Linked DNA regions of Styela clava. The protein of the gene in region 3 purifies or fractionates together with the protein of the main gene of each other region. This does not show direct contact. Links are inferred from orthologs where the notes say so. Each region holds a gene or a part of one and is shown on either strand. Other genes may lie near its edges. The genes, in order: PAX3- and PAX7-binding protein 1-like, tuftelin-interacting protein 11-like, histone deacetylase 11-like and autophagy-related protein 2 homolog A-like.

Region 1 (6,940 bases), on a different chromosome or scaffold from region 3:
TTCAAGGGATTGGAAATGGAATCACTTGAAATAAATTCAAATATGAAATCTCTTCGCGGCACACCAAAATCTTTTTGCTGTGGCGCGGCTACCTGGTTGGGAGCCACTGCCTTAAACAATACGCTCCGATTCACGGTACATACTTGCGACATTCACTAACGTTTATTACGTAATAATGTCTTCGGTAGCGCGTGTCGTGCTTTGGAGAAACACTGTAAAAGCATGACATCAAAATTTTACTTTATATCAAGGTGCTTCTGTGCCGAGTTGTCTCACGGACCTCAGTTTGGCTCGTTGGTTTGGCATGTTAGAATTTTGATGTAAAATTCAAATTTGGGCCATGTTTGACAAGATGTTATTATATGTTACCAACATACAATTTTTCCGAAACTTTTTTTTTCTGGTTCGAGTTTGGTCCGAGATGACTTCACAGTAAGTTCTTTTGGGATGTCTTACCTGAAAGTTAGACACGTAATCGAAAAGTACAGAATCTTTGAGTTTAAAACTGATATTTATTTTCAGTATTAACTTTGATGTTAAATTCTTGTTTGAGCCATGTTTGACAAGATATTATTATGTGTTCCCACTTCCCAACATACAAATTTGTTTAAAAATTGGATCGAGATGATTTCAAATGTGGCCGGCCGTTGAAAATCACAGAGGTTTTTGTGGAATACCGAGTGCAGCGAAATTTCGTCGTAACTTTGTCAACTGATTTGCCACCAGCCTGCATACTGGCCAACACAAAACGATGTGGCTCAAGGCGCGGCGGTGTGGCTCAACGGGCTAAGCGTTAGGAATACGCTCGCCACCGCACCTCTAATTACTCTGCGTGGGTTCGCAGGTTCGAATCCCATGCAGGGATGGTTATGTGCGAGAGGATTGCTGGACTCCTCGCCGTCGTTGGGTGGTTCACGTAACCGCTGGTCGGTTACGGCTTCCTCCACCACCAAGTCCATGCTTCCGAAAACAAACAATACAGTAAAAACTAATCCCATACCCGACTTGGAATGGTAACCGGACGAGAGGCCGTGGTTCGCCATATGGATAAGCCGTCTTATCGGTTTTCCTCTCCCCCGGGATAAATATGTAAATCCTATCCTATCCTACTTCTATAATAAACATCGATATTGTTTTATACTGTTTTTTTATTGTTTCATTATAATCTAACTCCATAAAAAATTATCGATATTATTTAATATTGTTTTTTCATTGTTTTTGTGGAAATAAATCTCTCTCTCTCTCCCTTTCTTCCGTCGTGGCTTTTATGTGCCATGTTGAATCGTTTTCTGGCAACTTTATTTTTCCGTTTCAAAAACGAGAGAGATGTCTGCTAGGGTCAATTTGGTCATTTTTAGTACCCGAGTACGGTACCGTACCGATACGTACTGTATCCATATGTTCATATTTATTTTTAATCATCAATGTATAACTTTATAGATTAGTAATACCGTACTGTATCAGGATAGGAGTTTTCTATTCATCCAGGGGAGAGTCTGGTTAACCCTCTCTGGGCCCCTTTATCTTTTAGCAGTGAGAAAATCGGATATTTTTAGTGAAAGCAATACTTTTAGGTCATATATCAGTATATATTGAATTTTTAAAACTTTTCAACACTCCGACTCCCTGGGGGGATTTACCCGATGTTGCACTAGTGCAAGTTCGGGTCTCATGTAGTTTCTTACCTAACATACTTCTAGTCCAGTCTGGATTTCATGGCCTTTTTGAACGAGAAATCGGGCGTGCAATCAGAAATTCCCGCGTGCAAATAAGAATTCCTGGCGTGCAATTATAGCTCACGACGTGCAAAACAACTGCACTCGCGTGCAACTGACTTTGACATCAAATACCTCTCAATACATCCGCGTAAAATTACCGGTATCGGATAAAAAATACGTTGAATCAGAGAAAAAAATGGACGTTTGACCTTTGACCCCAAACATTATTTCTACAGTTTGTCGCTAATTTTGAGAGTGTTTGTGCGACTTTGGATACCGGTACTGTTCAGTACATCCGCGTAAAATTATTGGATAAAAAATACGTTGAACCAGAGCAAAATGGACATACTTTGTCATTAATTTTGGTAGTGTTTTTACGTAGAATTAATGGATAAAAAATACGTCAAATTAGAGCAAAATGGACGTTTGACCTTTGACCCCAAACATTATTTTCATACTTTGTCACTAATTTTGGGAGTGTTCGAGCAACTTTAGATACCGGTACTGTTCAGTACATTCGTGCAAAATTATTGTATGAAAAATACGCTGAATCAGAGCCGTACTTGGCCATTGGTGCGGAGGCGATCTTTTCGTCCATAACTATTCTCACGGGATTCCTATTTCCTATCATTCAACACGATATGGACCTTTCTCCGAGCATCGACTTCCTTGTTTACTTCGTGACATTGGCCAATCAGCAAGATGCAAAAAAGGACGTAACAATGAGAGGAATTTTTCGCGGGTCAAAGGTTGGGGAAAGGTCCATGGTCTTTTTGCTTCGCAATATTTCGATCAGACCAAATCTTGCAAGCTGGTATTTGTCGACAATTGTGGAGGTATAATATTTTGGCATCTTTATATTACTGGATTATTGATTTTAAAACCATTTAAACCGATTTACATTGGTGAGCAATTGCAAATTTTCGGCGTGCAAAATTGATTTCGCTCGCGTGCATTTTTGCGGAGCGCTAGCGCCCTCGGGCGTGCACCTGCCATGGAATCCAGTCTGGCTTCTAGTGGGCGTACCGGTAGCATAAAAATTTTTTGATATGTCAATCCTAACCCCCATCTGATTACGCCATCCAAAAATTTAATCACTACGACATCACAATCACGGCATAGAGCTTGCCAAATATACGCACGATCGCCCGAAACGGCATTGGCGCCGACGATAAAAAACTGACTGACGTTATCGGTCTCTCTCCTATTGGAATCGTTGCGACGAGAAAACGAGAGAACTACGGTAACTGTTCGATTCGGGTGGTCGTTTGCGCGTCTTGGATGGCAGTACGTATAGTTTGAAGGGCTCTATTACGTCACTGTGACGTCGTAATGACGTAATTTTTGGATGGTGTAGTCAGGTGGGGGTTAGGATTGATACGTGAAAAAATTTTCATGCTACGCCCACTAGAAGTATGTTAGGTAAGAAACTACATGAGACCCATGGATTGCAATACCTTTGCCTTTAGGGTGTTGTGAAAAATTGGGAGCAAAAGAAAAACTGTGCTCCCCCGAACGTTGAATTAGGTTTCTGTTTATCTGGGTGAACGGCGTCACACTCGGACTTTCAAAACACGACTAAGTTACAACTTTGGATTTGTTTCTAGATTGCTATTGTCTGTCCATATAAATTTCAACAGTCAAAATGCTGAAATGGTCTGATTTTTTAGGCTCAAAATCTTAGCTACATAAATATTGTTCTGGAAATTCTGTGTTTCAACGAGATCAGCGTCATCATATTCATAATTGTAAGTCTCAATTGCTTCTTTATCTGAAAGTGTGGCATTAGAAATACGTGCTAATTCAACGCAATTTCTGCAAATATTCTACCCGTCGGCATATTTACAATTGTTCTGCTAGATCGCTGAAAATACAAATAGAAAATCTGAATCAATCTGAGACAGTGTCATACAAGCGTCCAGCGTCCACAAATCCTGATGAAGTTTTCATGAAGCGCCTCTTGAATAAAATTCAGGAACTTTTTCATTTAGTGCTCCTCAATGTTGTTTAGAATGAAAAATGTTCATTAAAGCTTTGTTTACTGCATGCTATGGCTGTGCTTTTGCTTTTTCTCTGTTATTTGCTATGTGGTTTGTATAACAAAAAAAAACACCACCTAGCTGCCTAGTCCTGCTCATCAGATAACCTCTTGCACTGTTATGTTCTGAGGTATCAGGTACCTTACAAATTTGGTATGATAATTAAATAGGAAGTACCTACTTTTCACTTCACTAGATGCTTCTTCAATCTAATTTTTAAGTTACGATATATCATAATATAAAATATCATGTTCAAGAAAACTTCCAAAAGAAATTTACGGCAACGAAAAGACTCTGATGGTGATGGTATAGATGGCATTGCATCAGAAGAAGGAAATAATGGCGTTAATATCGCTGCTTTGAAAGCAAAACAAAAGAAAAAAAGCAAGGCTAAAAGAGCAGAAACCACAAAGCCAGAGCAAAAAGCAATCCTAAGTTTTGGAGGTGATGAAGAAGAAGAAACTGAAACTTTTCAATTGAAAAAGTCTTCTAGAAGTCGCAGAATTGCCAAACAAATTAAAAAACTTGCACAAGAAGAACGAGATCAACCCGATTCGCCTGGAAGTGGTGAATATACGAAAGAGCGTCTAGCTGAATTAAAGAAATCTTCTATGGCACCCCAGTCTCTGCAGTCTACGAATTCACCATCTCATCCTTTTGGGAGCATTTCTGAAAATAATACTCAAGATTCAAATACATTTGGACAACCTACCAATGGTGGGCTTAAAGAATTACGACCAGGTGAAATTCCAGATGCTAATCGAATTCATGCTGCTAGAAAACAGAGAGAGATGATGAGGAAATATGGCTCTGATTATATAGCAATTGAAAATACAGACTCGTACAAAACGAACCCCAATTCTCGACTTGTACGCGAAGATGATTTGGAAAGCAGTAGTGGGGATGAAGATGGTCCATCGGTTGCAATGAAAGGAGTTATTGATGATGGAGCAAGAGTAGTACAAGAAATCGGGAACGAAGGAGAAGAATCATTTAAAAGAGATGAAGAATTTGATCTGTGGGAGGCGCAAATGATCAAAAAGGGCATTAGCACTCAGCAAGTAGGAAAGTGGGTTGGGGAAGATGATTCACAACCCAGACCTGATAATAATATACCATACAATACTTATGTAACCAATGGGACTTATAATTCCTCTGATATTACAATGAACTACAAACCTACTATAAATGCTACACCTAAAATTGCCATGACTCCTGGTGAAACTGTGACAGCAATAAAGAAACGAATTTCTGAGAGATTGGAATCTGTGAAAGAGGTTCATCGTACTCATAAACAAGATGAAGAAAGAGCTATCTTAGATGTGAAAGAGAGTGAAGATTCTGCTGTACAACTCGCTGATGTAACAACACTATCTAAGCAGTATACGTATTTCCAAGACATGAAAGCATATTTGACTGACCTAATTGATTGCCTCAGTGAGAAAAATGTGGAAATAGAGGCCCTAGAGAAAAGAAGGCATAAAATATGGAAGGAAAAAGCTGATGTGTTTCTTTCAAGAAGGTATGCAGTTTTTTCTTTTTTTGTTGTTGATATTCTCATAAGGCTAAACTAAATCACATTTGGAAAAAATTTCCCAATGCAAAGGAATCATTAGTACAAAGGATAAGATTTCTGGATCCATACGAAAATATTCACTTAAATTGTGTTACCTTGACTACCGCTATGTATATATTTTTAGCTTTGTTACCAATTATCGTAAGGAGAAATTTAAAAAATTCGAGCTATTAGTATTACTTTATCAAGTTTGTACTCATTATGTTGGATACATGATGCTTGCATGAGATTTAGACACATTCAATATTTAAAAACATAAAATTGTGATATTTATTGCCAACTATGCTTTCTGTTTTGCCAACCTTCCATTCTTTGATTCATTCATAGACAACAAGATGTTGCAGATGAGTCGTCTGAAATTACTTGTGCACTTTCTAATGTTAAAATTGCTCCTTCTGCTGTCGATAAAAGCAAACAACTCAGAATAAGGGAACGGGAAGCAAGAAAGTCTAGAAGAAGAGCAGTGAGAGAACGCCTGGGTAGGTTATGCGCTAATTTATTTATTTTTCCTATATTAATTAAGCTGCTGATATTGAGCTATTGCTACTTGGGCGCTCCAGAAGTATGTGTTCCAATATGGAGGTAACTTATTTTGTTCACCTATTTTACATCGCGTTGTGTAAAGAGACTGAAGCCTATGAGCAGGGGTATGTATATTCACTTGGCTAACACGGACAGTCCCCGGAACTCATAATATAACTAAAATAAGGAAAATCGGAATAACACTATGGCCTAACCCAGGGGTGGGCAACTTCTCTAGTCGACGGGCCAGATGTGGGAAAATGAAGTCCTCGGTGGGCCGGATAATAACATGAATAGTATTCAATATCTTAATCACATATTTATTCGCTAATGCAAGAAATAAAAAATTTAAATCGCGTTTAAAGTAAAGTTTATACTACAAATAAATAGAGACCAAAAAACCAATAATGAATTATCATAATGTACTAAAACTGTAATAATGTAATATCATAATGTACTGATGTACAGTCAGCGGGCTGGCCGGTCAAAATCTCGTCGTGGGCCGGACCCGGCCCGCGGGCCGTATGTTGCCCACCCCTGGCCTAACCCAAACCTGGTACAGATATTTTGTATTCTTCATTAGATTGCCTATTCTCATATCCAAATTTACCTTGTAACTAGGGCTGTCTAAAATTGAATATTTTTTTGATTGAAATCGAACTGAATATTATTGCACAATCCTAAATATATTTCCATCGTACAATAACAAACTCCCTCTTTTATATTGTGATAATATATGTGCAATTACATCTAAAATACTGCTGGTATTTTGCATAACTAAGTTTCAGGGTAATGACAGCGACAGGTGTTCACTAAGAGGTCCCGATACTTCAATTTACTCAATTCCAATAGAATCAGTTTTGATAGGGCATGCAAAGCCTTTCGGGCTATTTTAATCCTATTAGCATTAATCTTTAACTTTTATCTTTATCTTTTACTCTCTGTGTAATTTTTAGCAAAATGCTAACAATGATTAATACAGTATAAAGAACACCAGGTTCTCAGGAAATAGGGAGGTCACAAATTCCTGTTTAGTTTGATGACCTTATTGTTAATGTGCAACAACCATCAAAATGCATAAGTAT
Region 2 (7,641 bases), on a different chromosome or scaffold from region 3:
GCAAGGAATCCATCTTTTCCAGCAATCTTGTTTCCATTGCATCCTGCCATGATAATAAATAAGATATTTTGAATTATCAATTTTAGGATGTGGAAATTTATGCTTTGTGTTCAGTCTAATAGTTAGTCCGGTGGAGCTGACTGTGATGATGTTGCAGTAACTTGAAGGTTAATAATCTTGATGTTCTAACCTTGGCTTGGGATTAATGAAGCCGAATCAAAGAGATTGGCTGCTTGTCTTGCCTCTTAATCAGAGTGAAACACATGAGAAAATTTACATTCAGGAGCTTCCTTTCATGCCAGACAGGATTTCATTACATATAACTCCCTATATATTAGTGGCATAGTTGCGGAACAGCTATCAAAGCTCTCTTGTATATTTTGGCTCTTTAAAAACAATGACATATATTATTCACCTGTTTGCTTTGAGCCAGAGATGCATTCAGTTCCATAATTTGTGAAATTTGATGTTCAATCCTGGTTCGTTCACTCTCAGACCATTTCCGATTACTATCTATGGAAAGTCTGATGTCTTCCAAGACTTGCTGCAGAGAAAAACCGTAAATTCAATTGTTATCCCATTACCCACTTGGCAATATGGCCACACCAACGTTGTATTGGATGGAGTAGTAAATGCTGAACCTGAAAGATTTAGGTCCTTCCAAAAATAGTTGCACCTTTGTCCTTGTATATCATTGGCTGCTTAATTCAGGGCCTTGTTATGAGTTTGAATAAAATATATCTTGTTTGCTAACATATTCTTTCATCAAAGTGAAAGTTGTCAAACATTACGATCTTTATTGTATTTTCATTCGGCTAATGTTATGATTTTACAGTGCTTCGTTAAAACTGTACAAACAAGGTTTATAGAAAGTAGAAACTGTCATTAAAGTTATAGCATATCATGGCTCAACTTTTGCATTTAAGAGGCTTCAGATCTGTCATAATAACGCTCGCTGAACATTTAATCATTTCGAACATGTTTCAAAAACAAGTTTCATCGATTACATCGTAGGTAATAATTTAAAAAAATTTCAAATTTCACTGTATTTGTGAAATCATCACATGAGTGCAAGCTCACCCTCATTCTCGAATCCATAGCTTGAAGTTGGGAAGAGCTTGTTCCTTTTATAACTTCTATTTTCCCTTCCTGCTGAGTCATCACAATATCAAGTCTTCTGGTCAATTCAGAAATCTGAAGCACAATTGAGGAAAAAGGCAGTATTAGCCACTGAACACTAAAATTGAAGAGACAAATGGCAGGAGACTACCAAATTTAAATGAAAGGATTTTGGCAAACGTATTGGAAAGCCTGTTTTTCTCAGTACTAGATAATGAACAATATAGGATAAAGCGAAAGACATAAGGTGTACAGAACTGAAGACATGAAACATCCATCTGGCATTCACACATTCAGGTAGGACATGCTTATCACATTTATGTCTGGACCATGATTGTCTAACAATAAATATTAATAACAAATACCTAATATAAATTTCTTAATTTAAAATCAATATTAGCCCAGGAAGGTATAACAACTCGTTGCATACAAAAATATAAAAGTTGAAAGTGAGTATGACATGGAGGTTCAAATTAAACACAAACAAGACACAACCAAGGAAATTTTGCTAAAATGTCAATATAGTAAAACAAATCAAAAACCTACAAAGCGTTCAACTCTTGCATACTTTTATAGATATACAAGCTACAAACCTCTCTTTCAAGATGATCTATCTTATGTTTATTTGTGTCTGTGCTTTGATCAACATGTTTTTTATCTAGTTCATTGGCTGATGTTGCCGACCTTACATCTTGAGCAAGTCTGGCAATCAGAGCATCACATCTAAATTTTTAAAAAAATGTTTAGCAAAATGTACTGAAATCTTGGAGTAACTATAAAAGCAAAACTCATATAGATGGACCAAATGCTAAATTGAGAAAATATCCAAAAAAACTTATGCAAGAATTAATTGAAATACCAATTTATACGAGAATACATTTAATATGTAAGTGGCAGCTGGTCAACAGCAACACATTTACCAAATCATCTCCAAATTTAGCCAGAGATTATCTATTACTAACTTTATAAACAATAACAACTGAGTAGCCATGGAGTGTGCAATCAAATTAAAAATATTTTTTGTCTAATCATAGAAATCAATGGGTAATTTATAGTTGCTATCAATGTAATACAGCACATAAAAATTAATCAATCTACTTCGTCTATGTCCCCATCTTATTTCCTGCCCTCAAAAAAAAGTGGTAATTTTCCATAATCAATTTTCAACCCTCGCCATATTTTTTCCTTATTTTCACCAATATCAAATTTGAAAACTAGAAAAAGTTCGTCTGTTCATAAAGAATACGGGAATACTGTACAATATCATTCCAGATATTTAGCCAACAGCGACGCTTCTACACACTTATCATCAATGCTTTAGCTTTAAAAGCAACTAAATTTTTGATAAGACAAAAACGGAGTGGAATTGATAGAATAAACAATAGTAGTCTTACCTTGCCACACGACCTCTCAGATCGGCAACCCCCGCATGAGCAAATTGTTCAACATTTTTAGCTTGATAGGAAGCATCCACTATTCCACGATCTCTGGATGAAATCTGACAATGCAATCATTTCAAAAACAATCAGATATGGGGTCCTGATGGGTAAAGCATTCGACTTAACGGTGATGACATAACTAAATGGAATCTTGGGTTCGAATTCCACAACCACCGCCTTACCCTGGATTTGATGAATTAGGTAGGCGGTATCGAACTGATAAGATTACGGCGCTTCCAAACTATGGTATCTCCTTATCTAGCAGTGGTGACTTGACTTGTGCAGAGTCTTGTTCAGAGAAAAGTCATATACTATCGTTAGATAAAAAATTTAGATAGCAGGGTTTCATCATAGTATAACTCTAAATTATATGTCATCAAAGCGCTCCATACGAGCCCACGGAGACAGAAAGCTAGGGCTTTATGCCGATAAACTCCGAGTTAAAAAGTTACCTCAAATTTAAGTTCTTCAACATCTCGACTCAACTTTTTAACAGAGCTTGTTACGCTTCTGATATGCTCGTGCCATAATTGCTGCAATGCATCATCCATACTTGATGGTCGAATATCACTGGATAAAGCTTCTTTGAACTGAGAATAAAAAAATAAAGAAATTTTACTGTAAGTATAGCCTAAGTATTAGTATAGTCAAAGTAGCTATTCACATTTAGTGGTCGTCCGTAATTTCATTTTGAGATCAGTCTCCTTAATTTCGGAGTAAGTTTGTGTCACTTTGCTTTGAGTAGCAACTTGAGTAGCCTAACTTTTTTTGAACCTAAAAAACTGCAAACAAGGCTCTGTCATGTGAAGGAGGATACTATTTGCCCTTTACATTGATCATCTGACTTTTTACATTATAGATAAGCTGGGAAGCTTTAATTAGATCAAAACCTCCAGTCCGCAATTAAGACAAATTTGAGTTAAATATCATATTGATAGAAGCAGTAAAACAATGTTATTAATAACAGAGTGCACAGCAAAAAGAAGATTGAAAATATATTCAAATCGAACAAATAGTAATTGTAAAAGAAACGATTGTTGAAACTTACTTCAAATGCTTTTTCAATCAATGATTTAGTTGCTCTTTCCTGTTCTAACAATCTGTCCTCCAAATGATTTAATCTACGATTACCCCGACGATCAGATCTAAATATATCAAGAAGTTATTTTCATTTAGACATAAAAACTTCAATTTCATGAAAGCCAATCTTGGAAGTCAATGTTTTCAAATTAATACTGCAAAATAGTGGTTTATGTAATCGCTAATAGCTAATTCTACTACCCATGTCTAATCATGTATATATAACCTTGCCACGCAATAGAAATCAGAAAAAAACATATCTGGATATTGTGCCTAACTTCAAATACTAAAATATGACATAAACTTAAGTTATGTCTGGTTTACAAAAATTTGAATATCGCCAATCATATTCCTATAGATCTACAGCATGAAAAGTAAATAAAATATAACTTTATGGTCATAAATCAAGGGTACCATAAACGGAACAAACACGCGTCTTGTCATCTATAAATAACAGCAATAAAAGTTGGAAACATTTGGATTCTGTCTTCATAACAAGGTTATATTACTTCGTATATAAAAAAAATAATTCAGCACATACCTTCTAACAACGACTGTACCGTCGTAACCGTTATCGGACATAACTTCGCAATCTTTCCGTGTTTTTTCCGGGAGATTTTGATAACGCAAAATCCACGAAATGTCACCAAAACACAAAAATCTCAGCGTTGTTGGAAACGTAACTGTTCATGCATGTCAGTAATTTCCTTCTAGCGATTCCATTGAGTTTTAGTAAATATTCACAGTGGTAATCAAAACCATGATATTCAAAATTCTAAAAAAATGATTAATAATCTTGATCTAATTCGGAAACTAAAAATAATAAAAAAAAAAATAAAAAAAAAAATAAAAAATGCTAACTTTGCCAGATCGTATTTCTGTACCGTAATATGGATTTCACAGCTATGTTCTCTATTTTATTTCATCACTTCTTGCAATATCTGAAAACTAAAGGCTAAAATGTAATGTCGTTTGTTTTTTGTTTTGCAGATGTTTTTTCGCATCTCCCTTACTATTAATTAATTATTACGATACTATTAATTATTTTTACGGGATTTATGACGCTTTTGAAATCATTTGTCACTAAAAAACGGAGAAAGGACAAAAAAATTGTGGATATTTATGAGTCTGTGACCTGGTGACTGCGTGAGGAGAAATAATACTGGATTTTCTTCTTGCTGAAGGTACGGTAAGCTGTAATAATTATACATTTCAGATAGCAGCATATCTCAGTAGGTACGGTACCGTATCTGGGCTTATAAAACTATATTTTCGAACAACCAAAAGACCTCATTCAGGCATTTCCTTGCTTTATTGTAATATCTGAATTTGTTAGGATGATTGAATGAATTTGCGAATGTTTAAAATGAGGAAATTTGTAAAAGCATATCTAATCTACATATGTACCCTATATACATATTATATATATTATTTTATTTAATATATTATCTTTATGTTTTTTATTGCTGATAGTCAAATGCTGTATGTTGCATAGTGCTATGCTAGGCATTAAGAATATGGTACCCACTGGCTGGGAAGCACAGTTCTAGGGAATTGCTGTACTCGTAGCTCTTGTTTGGTCAGTTACCGCATCCACCAAGTCTATGGATGTGAAACTAATTACTAGACTTGTTTACTATCCCGATACGCAACATGCTCACCCAGACAATTGGTTGTCTTATGATTAAGCCATCTTATCCTCATCCCTGCGATAAATTAAAAAAATTCGAACCTCCTGCTCATTAATATAGGCTATTCATTTTTACCATTTTAATTCTGTCTTCAGATGCCTCCCAAAATGTCGAACCGTCAAAGAAAAATAGCGGCCATGTTTGCCGCTGATAGTGAAGAAGAGAATGAGATGGAGAAATTCGAATTAACGAATGATGACATTGCTAACGAATTTAATCCAGATCGACCACAATTCAAGCAAACAAAGGAACAAGCTCTTTATGGAATCTGGGCAAAATCATCTGAGAACAATTATGGGTTAGTTATTCAAGACTGTCAAATTGAAAAATCGATTTTTAGTTTGTTTTTTATGTGAGATTTCCTCCAAACAAGGCAACCATTAGTATGCACTACTATTTTTTATGACCCGGAATATCTTTGACCTTTTCTCTTTCCAGTTTATTATGCCCTGGGTGAAGTGTAGGCTTGGATCTGAGATATTTAATGCGCAATGCCAACACTATAACCATTATGGCATCACAATCATTGTTTGAAGCAGCGATTTCCAACCAGGGGCCGTTGCCCTCTACGGTGTTCAGGGAGCAGTTGGAGGGGGATGCAATGCTGGATGCAAAATTAACTTTTCAGTTTACAAGAAAACTCCCCTTTTTTTCTAGTTTCATTGCTTGAGAAGGTTATTTCACAAGTGTCATCACTTTTTTAGGCATGAATTGTTTGAACTGGAATGATAAACAAGAGTTCGAACGCTTCCAACTTATTCAAAGACATGTGGAATCAATGTATATCTGATCTATCGTATTAAGCATCAATTCAAAAATTTATTCAAGACTGAAATTATTAAGAAATTTGTTATAAGCTCATTGATAATGCTTCAAAAGTTATTAGGATAAATTTTTCTTTTTAGTATAAAATGAACATTAAGTAAAGTATTGATAATTTGTGTTTTCAAATTTTATAACAGGTTTTAGTGACAAAACAATTTTTTTTTTATCTACTACACATTCTAATTTTTACAGCAAAAAGAAACGCGATTTCTCAGCACCAGTAACCTTTATCAGTGGAGGTTTAAAAGAAGGAGAAAAACGTCAACGATATGATCCAGAAGAGGAAGAGAATATGGATGATTATGATGTTGAAGGAAGACAGACTAAAGAAACGTATATTGTTTTTTCAATTCTTAATTTTTATAAAATAATTATGTTTGCTTTTATTAGAGCAGTGGTTTTCAAACGGTGGGGAACGTAGACAATTTTTTAAGGAGACATGAAACTAATTAATTAAGTTACAAATTCTCTCGCCTTTTCCGCTAATTTTTTTGTGGCCCAGCTAAATGTCTGAAATGGGTTATATGGACCATCAACAAATAGTGTTGCACACCTCTGTATTAGAGTAAGAACTTATAATATATTCAATACTAATATTTATTTCAGCAAACCTGTAACTCTACACTCAGTCCAGAAACCAAAGCCTAAGCCTTCGACCTCAGCCGTTGGGACTAGTGGATCTGGTGGTCATGCATATAGTTTAACAGCGAAACAAAAACAGAAAGAAAAAATGGCGACGCAATTTGGGTCATTTGAGAGGCATACAAAGGGAATAGGTAATTTATTAGTATTTCATTATTAATTTCAGTCTTTCTTTAACAAATGAAAGCTTAAAACTTGGGGAACAAACATTTTGTCTGCATTACTACTGTTTAAATGAGATAGTAAAACTGGGGCGAACACAACTTTTTGTTTGGGTAGATGTTGCTTACATGAATCCCGTTTGTGTGACCATCAGACCACTGTTCTTCCCCTAAAGTGGTTATCCTATGATTCCTAAACAGAAGATATTGTCAGACACCCAGAATAGGGTGTCTAACCTTTTTTAGGACCACAGACTATTTTGAACCAAATTAAACTCTTCCCCTCTGTTAAGTTTCGTTGACTATACTAGGGGTTCTCAATCTTTTGGAGTTATGGAGCCCATAAAGAGGTTGACTATTGTTTTATAAAAATAAAAACACATCTAGAAACATTAATATTTACCGTTTGATGTCCTTGAAAAAACCAAAATTGCTTTGTTGAATGATTTGGATGAATTCATATTTAAAAAATATTCAGTATTCTAATAAGTAAACAATAGCTCGCGGAGCCCCTGGGTTTTTTCTCAGGGAGCCCTGGGGCTCTGAATGGGGCACTTTGGGAACCCATGGATTATACCGATACAATATAATCACTAATGACCTCTTCGTTAGCATCTCTGTTATGTCCCTTTTTTTTAACTAATTAACTTCTTTTTAGGTATGAAACTGATGAAAAAAATGGGT
Region 3 (7,873 bases):
AAACGATTATTTTTCGGAATTCAGAAAAGAACCCATTATAGAGAGCGTAAAATGTTTTTTTTTATATTTTAAACTTTCCCAATTAATTCTTAGTTTAATAAACGTACAGTATTCATTTGTGACAAAGAGAAAAATATATTTGATCAATTTTCCCGCAGCTCCAGTTGAAATACAAATCCCTATTAAATTTGTTACGTCGACAATGTTTATAAAACTGAGAATACACGCTATTTTGGTATTATATGTAGCCGAGTCAAAACATGCTGCCACTGTTTTGTTATAGTGAAATCAAATATATAGGGTATATACTTTTTTCCGAATGTGTCGTAGTGCTGCCTTTATTGGCGGTTTTCGAGAAATTCCCCTTCCAAAATCGATAATTTTTCGAAATTTTGAAAAGAATCCACGAAGAGGGCGTAAAATATTTTTTTGGTATTTTATACTTTTCTTCTGCAAATCATTCTAAGTTTAATAGACGTACAGTATTAATGTGTGACAAAGAGAAAAATATATATTTTATCAATTGTTCAGCAAATTTAGTTGATATACAATTCCTTTTTAAATTTGTTTCGTCCACATTGTTCATAACATTGAAGAGTATACGCTATGTTTGGTATTATATATGGCAAAGTCAAAACGTTCTGCTACCGTTCTGACATAATAAAATTGAATCTATAAGGTATGTGCTTTTCTCTGAATGTGTCGTGATGCTGCCTTTATTGGCGGTTTTTGAGAAATCACTAATCCAAAAACGATAATTTTCGAAATTCTCAACCTAATTCAAGGGGGTGCGCAAAATTTTTTTTATTATTACTTTATACTTTCTGAAACTTATTCTAACTTTAATAGACGTACAGTATTGATGTGCGACAAAGAGAAAAAGATATTTGATCAATTATCCTGCAACTTTAGTTGAAATACAAACCCTTTTTTAATATGTTACGTACCTTTGTTTTAAAAATCGAGGAATATACGCTATTTTTGGTATTATATATGGCCAAGTCAAAACGTGCTGCTACTGTTCTGGCATAATAAAATCGAATCTATAATGTATGTGCTTTTATCCGAATATGTCGTAGTGCTGCCTTTATTGGCGGTTTTCGAAAAATCGCCATTTTAAAAACGATAATTTTTTGTAATCCAGGACAGAATCCACCTGGAGTCGCAAATGATTTTTTGCTGTTTTATACTTCCCGCAACGTATTCCAAGTTTAAAAGATGTACAGTATTAATGTGTGACAAAAAGAAAATGATATTTTATCCATTATCTAGCAAATATAGTTGAAATACAAAATCAATTTTAAATTTGTTACGTCCATGCCGTTTTTAAAATTTAGATTACACGATATGTTTGGTAATATATATGGTCAAGCCAAAACGTACTGCTACTGTTCTGTTATAGAAAAATTGAATTAATATGGTATCTGCTTTTCTCCAAATGTGTCGTGGTGCTGCCTTTATTGGCGGTTTTCGAGGAATCGAGGTTCCGAAAAGGATAATTTTCCGAAACTTTGTATTTGCGGAATACCTGAAAATTCATTTTTCGCTTAGTTAGTCTTTTTTTGAACACTATTTTCTTGTTAAATTTAATGTATTCATTCAGTTTAAAAAATTTTCATCTATTTTCGTGACAATATTATATTTTGATCAGCATTTTCAATTTTCATATTTACCTATAAGTGAACACTATATGCGCGTGGAACCTATATTCAATGTGTAAAAATATTCTGGCTGAAAGTGCTGCTAGCTTCACAGTGGTAACGTAGATTGAGGGCAATAAACTATCGCGCTCTACTCTGAACAATCTTGAAATCTGCGGATTCCGACTCCGTGCACTTATTTTCGTCCAAGAAGCTGGACATTAGCCTGTACAACAGGCTGTTGAAGCGGGTGATCATTTTAAAAAGTGACATGAATGGGAGATAACGTCAACATCACCAATAATATATATGTTGGTATTTTACAAATTGGAAAATCCCTCCACGCAACAAATAATTTCAACATCCGTATTTTAAATAATTTTTTAAAACATTCTGGACCAGATTCAAATCTAAATATATCGGTCTACATTTAGTCGGTACCGAGAGAGAGAGAGAGAATTTATTATTTCGTCAACCAGAAAACACATAATATTAAATATAATAATAACATAATAAGTGAAACAAAAGTCTTCGGTATGACTGGGAGGTAACGATACGACCAGTTACGGTCATCTGAGTCAGTTACCACCCAATACAACACATGAATAAATACATAAATTGATACAGGTTCTTTTTTTTTAACTCTCAGTTTATAGAGAACTATTTACAAAACGAGGATAAATTTTGGATTCATCTAATCAGGGTTGGGAATTTATTGTGAAAAATGACACATTTATGATCAAATTTCCCCTCCATTTTATCAGATGAAATTATCAAGTAGTCTAAGTTAGTTTTAAGTATATACAAGAACCTGTGAAATGTATATCTCTAATCTAAGCATCGTTGTGAACCTTGCTTCGTTTTCATTGTTGTGCGTGAGTCAGTTTTCAAGTGCATTCTCAAAAACTAGTTTTAAATCAAATAACTTGATAGCCATTACTAAGGCACCAATATAGATTTTTCGATAGTACTTTTCTGCGGTGCCCCCTCTCCCTTGGAGCCCTAAGCACGTGCTTATATTTCCAAAAGGTTAATCCAGCCCTGCGTACCTAATCGCCCCAATTGCCATTCCCTGCTACTATAATTAATAGCCTCTGTCCGTGGCACTTAAGTGCCATAGTTAGGGATGGGCAATTCAGAATATCGAATCTGGAGGATTCGGATCCAATTAGGGGATCAGATAACTGAATTTGGTTTCCGCTTCTTTAAAAGCATTCGTCAATTTTTGTATTTCCGGTTTTATAATTTATTAATCAGAGATGAGCTTTTCGTCTTGCGTCAAAATTTCTCTCGTTTGATTAAAAGCGGTAGACGTCAAACACGGAAATCTTAGCGCTTCAGATCAAGAAGACTCCCATGAATGAACAAACGCCTCACGGCGAAGACTTGTTGTTGCACCATTTTCTCTTTCTCCAGCTTTACGACCTAGTTAGTGATTGATTTCAACAATCTAGCCCAATTTTGTATACCAATTTTTATTCATGTCATATGACCCACAAAATTTAATTTCTCACAGACGTACCATGCTCCGTTTTAGATTAAATGATTTTTCGCGGCCTACGAGTTCTACCGAGAACAATGATCTAAAGCAGGATTGTGCAACCTTCTTCGTAGACGGGCCAAATATCAATAACGGGGTAAAACCGCGGGCCGCACTTTCATTACAATAGGCTTTCTATTAGCTGTAGGCACATAATAGTGTCTATATGTTATTGATTCTAAATCGTCATTATTGGGGGTCCTTGCAGGAATGATGAGTTAAACTGTAGTTCAAATATATCGTTACATCCATTTTATACGAATTCGGTAAGAAATTTGCTGCTAGATTCTTTATCCAAATTTGCTTAAATGAAAGTGATACGAATTTGATATGGAGCCCGTTTTTGAACAAAAAGATGTAATCGAAAAGTGCCCTATTTGAAGCCATGACCTTTTTCAAATGTGGGAAGTTATCTTGGTTGAAATGTTTTCGGTAAAGTACGCCAAGATTCATTTCCGAATAATTTGCTGTCAAATTTTATTCTTGATTAGATTTGGACAAAATCAACTGATAGACTGGAACCAAACTCAATTTAGTTTTTGCATCTCTTGATATTAAAAATTTAAACTGCTTTCCAGTTTCCTGATCTTCGATTGCTCGTTCATACAAGTTCATTAGCGTCTGCTCCGCATTTCCTTTCAAGTTTTTCGCAGTTCAGCAAGTGGCAGCTTTGTGAATCGCGTTGCTGTTGAGACGTTGTAACGTCATAGGCACAGATAGCAAATTGGACTCGGATATTATCTTTGAAGCCCAACCAGATCAAAATAAAGTAAAAACTAATTTAGCCGCACACCATTGAAAATTCTCTACGGGCCGCACAATATTCCCTTGCGGGCCGCACCCCTGATCTGAAGTTTAGATCAGAGATTAGATTAGATTCTAAACCAAAAGCCAGACGTTAAATGTTATAACATTATTTGCGATTAATTTATATCAAATATTATTTACAATGATTTAATACATTTACGACAAGCCTCTTCCGAAAATACAAAGTTTCATCACAAACAAAATATTGGTCACATTTATTTTGCACTCCCAAATAATTACATCCTTCTCGGGAATCTGCGATTCGTTATCGGATGTTATTACATGTTAAGTACGAAATCACGATTACGGTAACTTTATTTTACGGGTCTTAATCTCACAGAATAAACACGCTGACCCATGCTTGATTATAATTGATAGTGGTTAAATCGTAAATATATACTACTACGATTAAATTCAATAGTTTGCACCCGTAATTGACGCGAAGACTAGGAAGGAAGGATAGGATTTACATATTTATCCCGGGGTAGAGGAAAGCCGATAAGACGGCTTATCCATATGGCGAACCACGGCCTCTCGTCCGGTTACCATTCCAAGTCGGGTATGGGATTAGTTTTTACTGTATTGTTTGTTTTCGGAAGCATGGACTTGGTGGTGGAGGAAGCCGTAACCGACCAGCGGTTACGTGAACCACCCAACGACGGCGAGGAGTCCAGCAATCCTCTCGCACATAACCATCCCTGCATGGGATTCTAACATGCGAACCCACGCAGAGTAATTAGAGGTGCGCTGGCGAGCGTATTCCTAACGCTTAGCCCGTTGAGCCACACCGCCGCGCGGTACCCGCTACGGCGCATAAGTTGCAGTTGTCTCGGACTGGCCGTGCATATACTGTGGTGAAGGTGCCGTGGTGGACAAAACATCACCACACATATATATCAAAACTCCCAATACAGTGCCTAATAATGCAGCAAAACTTTGTCTTCTCAATAACCGAGCGGTAATGCTGCCAGGAAAATTTTTAAGCAATTTAGGTCAAAAAAAAAATGTGATAACTTGTGACTAATTATAAAATTTTGTTTTTACATAAAAAAAAAATATTGCAGAAATTATCGAATTTCATTGGCCTGAGCCAATGATCGGAACATTTTCAATTACACGCGAAGACTGATACATTTACAATTTTTTTTTACATTTTATTCCACAGGAACATAATATCAAAACTATCTATATATACGTCCATTTCGTGATTCAGTATTCTGGATTTGATTTGAGTATTCTAAAATACCGTAATAAATTATTCAACATTTCCCACCCCTAGTCACAGTGCAGTAGTTGTTTTAATGCTTATAGCTGCATAGGATTATATGACTGTACGAAATATGGGGCAAGGACCTTTAAAACCCAGCAGGAATCAACATAAACCCAACAGTAGAAGCTTTGATAAGTCGAATGAAAGAATTCCAAGATTGTATCTAAATATTTCGGATCAAGCCTGGCCATTAGTCTACAGTTCTGGCTACAATGTAAGTTTTGGAGGCATGGAAAAGTTGCATCCATTTGATGCTGGCAAATGGGGAAGAGTTCATCAGATGCTGATAGATAAGAAAATGTTATTGCCTGGGGAATTTGTTGAGCCTTTAGAAGCGTCAGAAGAGGAATTGCAAAAAGTACACAGCCAGAAATACTTGAATAGTTTAAAATGGAGTGCGAATGTAGCAATGATCACGGAAGTTCCACCAGTTGCAATGCTGCCTAATTACTTTGTTCAACGCTCAGTTCTGCGACCATTTAGATTGCAAACGGGTGGCTCAATCTTGGCAGGGAAGTTGGCAATGGAGAGAGGATGGGCCATTAACATTGGTGGTGGATTTCATCACTGCTCTGCTGAGCGTGGAGGAGGATTTTGTGCTTATGCTGACATAACCTTAAACATTCGTTATTTGTGGGAAAACTTTCCAGACATAAACAAAGTCCTGATTGTCGACCTTGATGCTCACCAGGGAAATGGATATGCTCATGATTTCATGGGTGAAGAAAGAGTTTTCATTTTCGATGTGTATAATCGTTTAATATATCCGAATGATCAGCGTGCTAAATTAGCCATTTCTCGTCCGGTGGAATTGGTGCATGGAACGAGTGATTCAAAGTATCTGGAACTTGTGAGAAAAAACCTTTCTGAAGTCATTGAACTGTTCAATCCTGAATATATTGTGTACAATGCTGGAACAGACATTCTCAGCGGCGATCCACTTGGTTGTCTTGATATATCACCTAATGGCATTGTTGAAAGAGATCAAATAGTTTTTGAAGTGGCCCACAGAAACAAAATTCCAATTGTTATGTTCACGTCTGGTGGATACCAAAGATCAACTGCAGCAATAATAGCAGATTCAATTTTCAATCTCAATAGTCATGGATTTATAACTGGACCTAAAAATATTTTGCATTCTGAATAATGAATGTGATATCAGTTGCAGGAAGCTTTCTATACAGTGATTCTCATACTTCCTTTTGCAATCATTAACTCCATCCATGATCATAATATACATTTATAGTTGATACCTGAAATATCTCGAATGACCTCATATGAAAAAGCCTACTGTGTTTATTGACATATATTATTCATAAATTATATTATTCTTTTGTTTGTCACTTACATCATCTCAACTTTAATCCATAACTCAACTAACAAATGTCTTATGGAGCCCAAATTGCCTCATTGGATGTAGTGTTCAATTGAAAATGACAAAATTAATCTGATTTGAACTAAGTGGTCAGACTAATTTGACTCATATTTTACAATCATAATTCTTCTTGTGGTAAATCTTTAACAAACGAACTCGGTATCAAAATCGAAACCTTATTGGCGATTTTGCATTTTTCTCTGTTTGTTTCATGAAATTTAGATTAAATGCAATACCTACAGACTACAGTATTTATTCATTTCTCTAGTAAATGCTCTTTCCAAAAATTTTGGTTTTGTTGATTTTACATATTTTTGAGTTTATGGATTTGATTGATTGATTTGATTGATGAATTTGATTTGTGCTTATCGCATCTTTGAAAAATAGTTTTCAATATTAATTTTCATCACATGAATATACACATGACAATGATATGGTCATTTTCATATGCTTATCGAGGACAGCCATATGTTATATGCCTAAAAACATAGTTTATGATTAGAAATGTGCAGTCAGATTTGGATATTTGTATCAATTTCACTGTCAATGTGAAAGCATTTATCATTTGTCAATAGTATGCATAAATCTGCAATAAAAAAAAATAATAAGTGATAAGTTGTATTTGAGTTTATGTTGATGTAAATGCTAGTTTTATATTTCTTTTAGTTTTCAAAATTTCAATTGTTTCGCCAAAACCTTACTCTCCATTATTTTTCAAGCACTTGTTATTTTAAGTGCTTGTGGAATGGAATTGAAGTGTTCAACGTTGATACCCATTTTCCCTCTTACAATTTTATTTTTCATTTATTATATACTGTATAAAATGATTATTACAAAGTTTTACACATTTATGCACTAAATTTTTATCACTGTCACTTCATTTTATATTATTAATAATCATAGTATATCAGTATGGGCCAAGGTGCAAGTACTGAACTCAGGGAGGATGGCAGTTCTGACCTGCACAAAAATGATTTGTGGCCTATGGTTCATTGTCCGGAATATAATCTACGCTTCATGGGATTAGAAAAAATGGGCAAATTTGATTTATTGAAAGGAAATAATATTCGTCAGATACTTATTGCACAAAAAATTTTGACAGTTAATTCATTCTCCACTCCTGTTGAAATTACGGAAGCAGAGTTGAAAGAAGTTCATACCCAGGAATATATGGAGAGCTTGAAAAGATCCAAGACCATTGCAAAAATAACAGGAATATCTGGATTAGCAATTTTTCCATA
Region 4 (7,350 bases), on a different chromosome or scaffold from region 3:
AAATGGTGAAGGGTTTGCATCAGAAGAGCTATTATGTGAGCCAGACATGAATTCTTCATCCAACCAAGGGTCCTCAGAATTTTCAAACTTCTTTTTAGTTGGTGATGGTTGCTCTGTTAAAGTTGTGTTACCTTGTAGAAGAACGTTGTTGCTTTCTTCATGACTTGGGTTTATTGTTACTTTAATATGTGGATAATCCATCCCACTGTTTGCATCAACATGACCTCCTAAGGGTCCGATCACAGATGGACTTTGACTAATGCGTAGAAATGATTTAGGTCTCTCTGGTTCATCTGAGTAAAGAACGTGTAAATCCTTTACTGTGATTTCGAATTCCTGTCGTTGCTGTGAGCTAGATGAGCTATGCGTTTGCCATTTCTGTCCAGAACGAGATCCTACTTGTCCACCTGATCCAAGCGAAGAAGTTAGGAAAGCAATGTCATGAGCTTCAAGAATAAGTGTTTCATCTCGTAATGAACGATTGTACCATGGTCGTCGCTCCATTTCCGGTCTCAAATCTGCGATTGGAAATCGGAAATTGATTTTCAAAAATGATGCAGAGATGTTCAAATTTAATTGACGATCCTTATTATCCTCTGAAAGAGCTTCATTGAAAGCTGCTTGTTGGCTGTAAGCATCAGGAAGACTGTGAGCATAGCTTGTAGGTGAGAACATACTTGCGGCATTAGATTGTGCTTTCGTTATTGAATCAGGGGGATAAAGCAGTGTGCTCAATCGATCTACAATGCTAATATCAACTTCAGATTCACAAGCAGAGAGATGAACATGCAATGTTGTTTTAGAAGATCGATGACTATCAAAATTATTTATACTAATCTTGATATCAGGTGACATTTCCGATTGTGCTGTTTTCACCAAACCACCGGCATAAGGTTTAGGATCGAACACCAGAATTTCAGAATGAACAGAAACCTTTTTCTTTAGCACTGGAGAGCTTTTCGTTTTCCCACTTTTTAAAGAAGATTTTCTGGGAGCATCAATAAACAAACATTCAGTAATTTCAGCTTTACCAAATGAAAGTTCACTGCTGGATGTTTGAGATGTTTTTTGCTCACTGTCAAGATGTATATGTGCTGCTGTGAAACGAAGATGATCATGTGGACAACACACTGAAGCTAAATCACTTCTTAAAGTGTTTATATTTTTGTTGGCTTTGAGCGTTTCGTCAAGGAGGGTTTCACACAATGCATAATACTTATTTGACATTTCAACATGGCAGTTTGTAACACTTGTATTAGAAGAATCAACGTTGCTCTCTAAACTTGGCTGAGGTGTTAAGGACGAATCGACTTTATGGGAATGTGTGGGCGACGCTGATGGCGGCAGAGGATTTATATGAAGTACCGTGACTGCCATTGCTCTGATATGAAACTGATAATGACAATGGTTCGATGTTGTTTTATCTTCTTCACTGCGACTTGAGTGATGCCGTCTCAGACCATGTGGAGATGTACCATAACCATTGTATTTTGACTGGGCATGTTCTGTGCCAAAATGGTGATGGCCTCCACCCATTACTTTCGACGAAGGGTGCATGGGTGTCATTCTAGAACGGTTAGTATAGGCAGATGATGGCGTAAAACCTGTTGATTGACTATAAATTGAAGTCCCATATTCACTGTTTTCATACTCTGCTGCTTCTTGGGGAACATGTGAATACAATTTTGAACCTTCCATCGAAAAGAACTGATCTCCTTCATCAATATCTTGATAAGGCGGATTCGCCAAATAAAGATCTTCATTTCTTTGTCGATTACGTTTTCTTAATTCTTCTCTGTCTTTATCCGACGGTGAGGTCATTGCATTTGTAGGTGATAATTTTATCCCATCATGGCATGTTGCGAAATTATTTGTCTGCATTGATAGAAATTCATCTCTTTGGGGGTCGGGACTTACTGAAACAGGAGTAGCAATTCCACTTGCAAATTCCGCTAATAGATGGACTTGGTGTGGTGTAAGGAACATACTGCAGGATCCAAAAAAACATTCAGCATCAAGTTTCGGTGCAGATACATGTTCACTTTGCCGAATACGAAGTTTAACCTCTTGCCAGCCAAAAAATTTTCCAATTACAACTGGGCCATCGTATTTAGTTTCCTTCTGAGGCTTATCTAGTCTCTCCTCTATGATTTTCATCGTTTCAAACTCAGTGTGCGATATGTCAATTGGTTCTGTACCTCGTGCTTCTGGGCTGCCAGTTGACCCAGGTGGAGTTGTTCTCAACTGCTCTGGAAATTCATCCATAAGTATTTTGATACCAGTGGCTCGAAAATGCTTGCATGTAATACTCTCCTGTTGGTAAACAGTTTTTTTGTCGCCAGTGTGTTGAGGTTTCTTCTCGTGCGCTGGGGAAGAGTCATTCTTGTCCTCCATTGTAATTTCGTCAAAATATTCAATACGCTCTATATGAACTTCAAGACCAATACCCGTTCCAGAATTTTCCGGCAAATGTTCAACGCGAATCACCATATCTGTTAATGAAACCTTAATTTTTGATAGAACAGTTTCAATAGTTTGCGCAAAAACTTCAAGTCCCTCAAAAAGTCCTCCAGCAGATGTGTCTTGAGCTTCATCTTCTTCTTCTTTGAGGCAACCTTCAGCAAGTTGCATTGATGTTGTCATATTCCCAAGGCTTTTATACAAAGAATCAGTCATATTTCCATGATCTACGTCAGTGCGATACTTCGGTTGAAGCGTCACTTCCAACCCCTTGATTTCAACTTTACAATTGTCACTCAGTAATGCAGACCATGGGATTGTGACGACGATTGATCCAATAAAACCATCTACAATTTCCATAGGCACATGAGCCTGGTCTAACATTCCATTTAAAGCCCATATATCGAGTGCAACATCATTTACATATCCAGTTCCGTTATATAAATCCACACTGAGCTGGTCTAAGCGAAGTTTCTCCTGCAGGAATTGTCCAAGATAGTGCTGTAATAAATATCGGCATGCTCGCTTTTTTATTGATTCAGGCCATGAAGTAAACCACGGCATTGTGTCTCTTTTATCTCTCTTTATAGCATAAATAAAATAGTAGTTAATCAATGTACTTAAGAAGCTGGATTCTGGAAAAGCAAAAACATTTTAGGATAGCAGCAAAAATCTGCAAACAAATCATTTCAATGGCAGTGATTTGAATAACTCATGTTGAATATTATTATAAAACTAGTTGATAAACTGTAGTATAGTGAAGCAGCACAACCAAGAGTTATATCATAATTAGATGAACATACTAATATTACAGTAACAAAAAACAGGAAGTAAGATATAGTATTATAAGCAGTTTCTTTTTGATTGAGTCCATAATCATTAATAATCAGTATAAAGGCAACAAGTGAATGATAAAAACATATGGTGAGTAGCATTAAAAAGCATGCCAGGAAAGCAAACAAAGTTTGTAATAGAAAATTCTTTCAGATAATTGGTATCATTAGAAGAAGCATGAGAGTTTGAACAAAAACATGTCTATTCTCTCGCATGCGCAATTCAAAAAATAAGAATAAAAACGCTATCTTATTGAAAATAGTTCGACTGATTTGCAATATCTTACAGGGATTTTCATATATATATATATGTGCATATATATCAATATATACCTTATATATGAAGAATATCTGTAGTGTTCAATTAATACAACAGTTCGAATAATAAGCTTCTCCATGAAAAATATTTATATTTCAGTGTAACACTTTTATATGAACATGCAAATAGCATACAATTACTCCCTGCATCTGGAAGACTGAAATTTTGTTACCCAGTAGAAAATATACCATAATAAATTAGTTACTCTTCACTAAACGATATACAAGTACAAAAGTCTAACAACAGGAGTTATGCCAACACTTTATATCTGTGTAAAATACATACCAAACTAATTTTTAAAAAATTAAAATTTATAACAAAACAGTTTCAATTTAGTCCAATCGCATATTACAATTTTTCTCTATCCAATTGATAGTTCTCTCCCCGAAAATAAGGAAATATTCAAAATGAGAGTCGCTGTTTATACACAACCTCGTTGGAGTAAAAAACAGGTAAAATTGATGACAGAAAATTCGGACTATATGAAATCTTTTCTCATATCTATATTCCTTATACTATAAAACAATTGAAATAAACTCCTAACTATCCTACCATCTTTAGCTTGATTAAGTTGATCAATTCAAAATGTCCAAAAAAACATATAGCCTGAGGGCATAAAACATCCAGACAAAATAAATCACAATAATCGCAGTAGTTATTTCTTTATGTAACTGTCTTTTATCTACATTGAAACTATCTTCACATTATTTAAATTACTCATTTAGTACAAGAGTAACTTATTGACAATATATTTGGATTAGGGTTGCCACTTCTGGATACATTTTTTTTTCGAATCGAATCTCAAATCAAAAATTTTTGAATTGAATCTTTCCGAATCTGATTCCATTATTTTTTTTTATTTTTTTATTGCATGCGTATTTTTGCTCAAAGTCACAAAAAAGCTCAAATCTAGATGAGTAAAACTAAAAAATGGAATAAGCTATATAGCAAAGATGATAAGGGTTTTTCAGTGAATAAGCCACACTCATTTCCATCATGATAAATGCATTGATGAAAAACTTGCTGTTGCAACTTATCTGTGAGTCTTACAATACTGAGTTATTATTGTGTTATACTTGTATCAGGACTGAGGCAATTTTGAGAAAAACAATGTCCGTTATGGTTATGACATTTGCTAGAAAGAATTCGAAATGTTTTATTCCCGCTTGTATCGCGCTAACAAAATTAAAATTAAATACTACTTTTTTTGTAACAGCTGAAAAAAGACGTGTATGTACTATTACATTATGTCCTTCTGATTTCGTTTACCGCCATTCGAGTGGAAGCCTGACAATTGCAAACAAAACAAATACATATTTTAGGATGAGAAACATGATTGTCAATTAACATTGCCGGCCGATGATTCAGTAATAGTTGTACGCGAAATATTTCAATCAGAGCAAAGTTTAAATTAAATTTCAATCAAAATTAAATATTATCTAGACGTCGGTAGCTGATTCTTTATCCAATCATGCCAGGGCGCACAATAACTTAGTCGCAGCGCAGGTGTGCTTTTGAAAATTTTCATCAAAATTGTCACAAATTTTTAGGTATACGATCTATTTAAATTCGCGCATAATAGAAACTTAGGCTATTTAGTAGAAACTGAACGTGCAGTTTGGTGGAAATTACGCCACACATCATCTCGAGTGAAGCGTAAACGAGTGTGTTGTGCCGAACTTGAAACAAATGACGGCAGATAAGTAGAAAAAGTCAATCACGAAATCCTAAAACCGATTCGGAAAAGATGCGATTCGAATCGATCCGATTCGTAAATCCAAAAGTGGCATCCCTAATTTGGATGTTAATTATAATATATAAAAACCTAAGCTTATCCTGTTATAGTAGGCACAATACAAAAATGTAATGAAACAAAAACATTGTAAACAACAAAAATGCATAGAATTTAATGATATATTTTTTGAGAAAAATTTTGCGAATGAAAACTGAAATTTTTTTTCAATCAGTTGGTGGCCGAAATGAAACCATATCTGAAAGAATTACATTAAACATATTACCAGAATGTGTAGCTAAAGAAGAGTGACGCCAAAGAAATTCAGCAAAATACCCAGCTAGCTTCTTCCTCTTGTTCTTTGCCTTTGCAGGGTGCCACAGAAGTTCAATATGTTTGGTATGGTCTTTACTGCAAGGATCCACAAAATTATAGCCCGCTTCTAATATCAGGTGTTGGGATTCTGAAATTTCTTCAGGTGATTCATCCTGAATGGCCCGAAACGCACTCCAGTCTTCAGTAAATATTATCGTTTCAGGGTGTATGTAATCAATTATTGGTGGAATTACAGTACTTTGTGTATCATCTGTAACTGATACCATGAATACTTCCTTGGTTTCGATACAAATTCCTCCAAACACCCATTGTTGTGGAAGAACTCGACCAACATGGTTTTTCCTCTTTGCGAAGTATACTTTATCTATTTCCACATGCTTATCTGGACCTCCGATAGTAACAGGATTTCTTAAAAGTTTCCAAAGACACACTTCTCCCATGTATCTATTCCAGTCAGTTATTATGTCTTTTTTCATTCCAAGTTCTGATTTACAATATTTTGCGGAAGCCAATCCACATGACCACGAAAAAATAAAGCGAATTAAATCTCCATATGGCAGCCTTGAACTAGCAAGCCAATTATCTGTTCGCACTCCTTTTTCTTTTCTACAGTTTCTTTTAGAGCAACGCCATCGATTCTTGTTTCCTCCTCCGAAAACTAGCTTCATTGAGTGTCCATTCGCACATTTTCGTTTCAACTGCAGTATTCCAACCTCTTGTAAATATTTGATGCATTTCTCTTCATTGTCAAGTTTAGGAATAAGCATTTTTAAACTTTCCATTGTAATACTCTTGTTTTCTCGAAAAAATAACACTTATTGGAAATATTACCAGATGATGGGGGCTGTAGAGATGAGGCAATTTAAAAGCAGATAGAAGATTGACAAAATATATTATGAGACAATCACAGACTCACAGTGTCAGCTGTTTTTGTACAGTAAATCATATAGCTGTATAGCCTACCAGTATACGGACCTAAGCTTCATAGGTCGAAGATTCCAGTTGTTCCAGTATTAAAATGATTTAGGCAGTTAGGGCACTACTTACTAAATTTTTCGGTAGACTCTATGACTTCTATTTAGGGGTGAGCTAAAAGGGTTCGGAACCTCTATTTTTGACATGTAAAAAAGGGTATTTTTCTGTATCATAAAAAGCAATTTTCATAGCTTTTTAGACACTCCTGAAGACTCTTGAAAATGAAAACCCAAGTTTTTCGGCCTGTGGTCTGACCTGCTAGGGTGGCTTACCCACTTTGCGGCCACGACCTATTTGCGACCATCAACTTCATCGATTAAATTAATGATGAAAAAATTAACAAACCGTGACGATATTTCTCACGCGTTATTTTCCACTTATCCCTCATAGTTCTGCGAAATTACACTAAAATGCAGCCACAAACAAAAAGTTACGACCGAAAACCAGACCGAAGAAAAAAAAAGGACCACTTTTTCAGGTCGCCAACTACCCATTGTTCCTTTAAAAAAGCTTGAAAATTCATACAAATATAAGAGATAAAGAGATGAAACTTGGCAGGTGGGTAGAGTTGTGTTTCTTTTAACCATCTTTAAAGTTTCGCGTTTCTACATTTGAAGGAGGGGGAATAGGGGGGTGCGCATTTCCAATACGTCGATAATATCTTTGTCCACCAATTTGCGACCACCGTGTTTTTG

What was found.
Region 1: the proteins of histone deacetylase 11-like (region 3) and PAX3- and PAX7-binding protein 1-like purify together in Homo sapiens (co-immunoprecipitation; 3 studies listed by BioGRID and IntAct, counting the BioPlex papers as one, with this or other methods). This does not show direct contact. The link is inferred for Styela clava from reciprocal best matches to the Homo sapiens genes HDAC11 and PAXBP1.
Region 2: the proteins of histone deacetylase 11-like (region 3) and tuftelin-interacting protein 11-like purify together in Homo sapiens (co-immunoprecipitation; 3 studies listed by BioGRID and IntAct, counting the BioPlex papers as one, with this or other methods). This does not show direct contact. The link is inferred for Styela clava from reciprocal best matches to the Homo sapiens genes HDAC11 and TFIP11.
Region 4: the proteins of histone deacetylase 11-like (region 3) and autophagy-related protein 2 homolog A-like purify together in Homo sapiens (co-immunoprecipitation; 3 studies listed by BioGRID and IntAct, counting the BioPlex papers as one, with this or other methods). This does not show direct contact. The link is inferred for Styela clava from reciprocal best matches to the Homo sapiens genes HDAC11 and ATG2B.

Annotation. Positions count from the first base shown.
Region 1 is NC_135260.1:20,023,526-20,030,465, reverse strand, and holds the start of PAX3- and PAX7-binding protein 1-like, read left to right. Parts: upstream 1-3,931; 5' UTR 3,932-4,005; coding exon 4,006-5,279; intron 5,280-5,660; coding exon 5,661-5,812; intron 5,813-6,940. UniProt on the Homo sapiens protein: Adapter protein linking the transcription factors PAX3 and PAX7 to the histone methylation machinery and involved in myogenesis.
Region 2 is NC_135264.1:14,210,478-14,218,118, forward strand, and holds the start of tuftelin-interacting protein 11-like, read left to right. Parts: upstream 1-4,632; 5' UTR 4,633-4,822; exon of another isoform or gene 4,823-4,827; intron 4,828-5,424; coding exon 5,425-5,627; intron 5,628-6,346; coding exon 6,347-6,487; intron 6,488-6,760; coding exon 6,761-6,930; intron 6,931-7,615; coding exon 7,616-7,641. Other genes in the region: protein FAM81A-like, read right to left, coding at 1-43, 416-544, 1,081-1,194, 1,713-1,842, 2,514-2,617, 3,011-3,148, 3,607-3,703, 4,180-4,220. UniProt on the Homo sapiens protein: Involved in pre-mRNA splicing, specifically in spliceosome disassembly during late-stage splicing events. Intron turnover seems to proceed through reactions in two lariat-intron associated complexes termed Intron Large (IL) and Intron Small (IS).
Region 3 is NC_135252.1:6,045,648-6,053,520, reverse strand, and holds histone deacetylase 11-like, read left to right. Parts: upstream 1-4,850; 5' UTR 4,851-5,312; coding exon 5,313-6,404; 3' UTR 6,405-7,535; downstream 7,536-7,873. UniProt on the Homo sapiens protein: Responsible for the deacetylation of lysine residues on the N-terminal part of the core histones (H2A, H2B, H3 and H4).
Region 4 is NC_135259.1:16,431,314-16,438,663, forward strand, and holds the start of autophagy-related protein 2 homolog A-like, read right to left. Parts: upstream 3,025-7,350; coding exon 1-3,024. UniProt on the Homo sapiens protein: Lipid transfer protein required for both autophagosome formation and regulation of lipid droplet morphology and dispersion.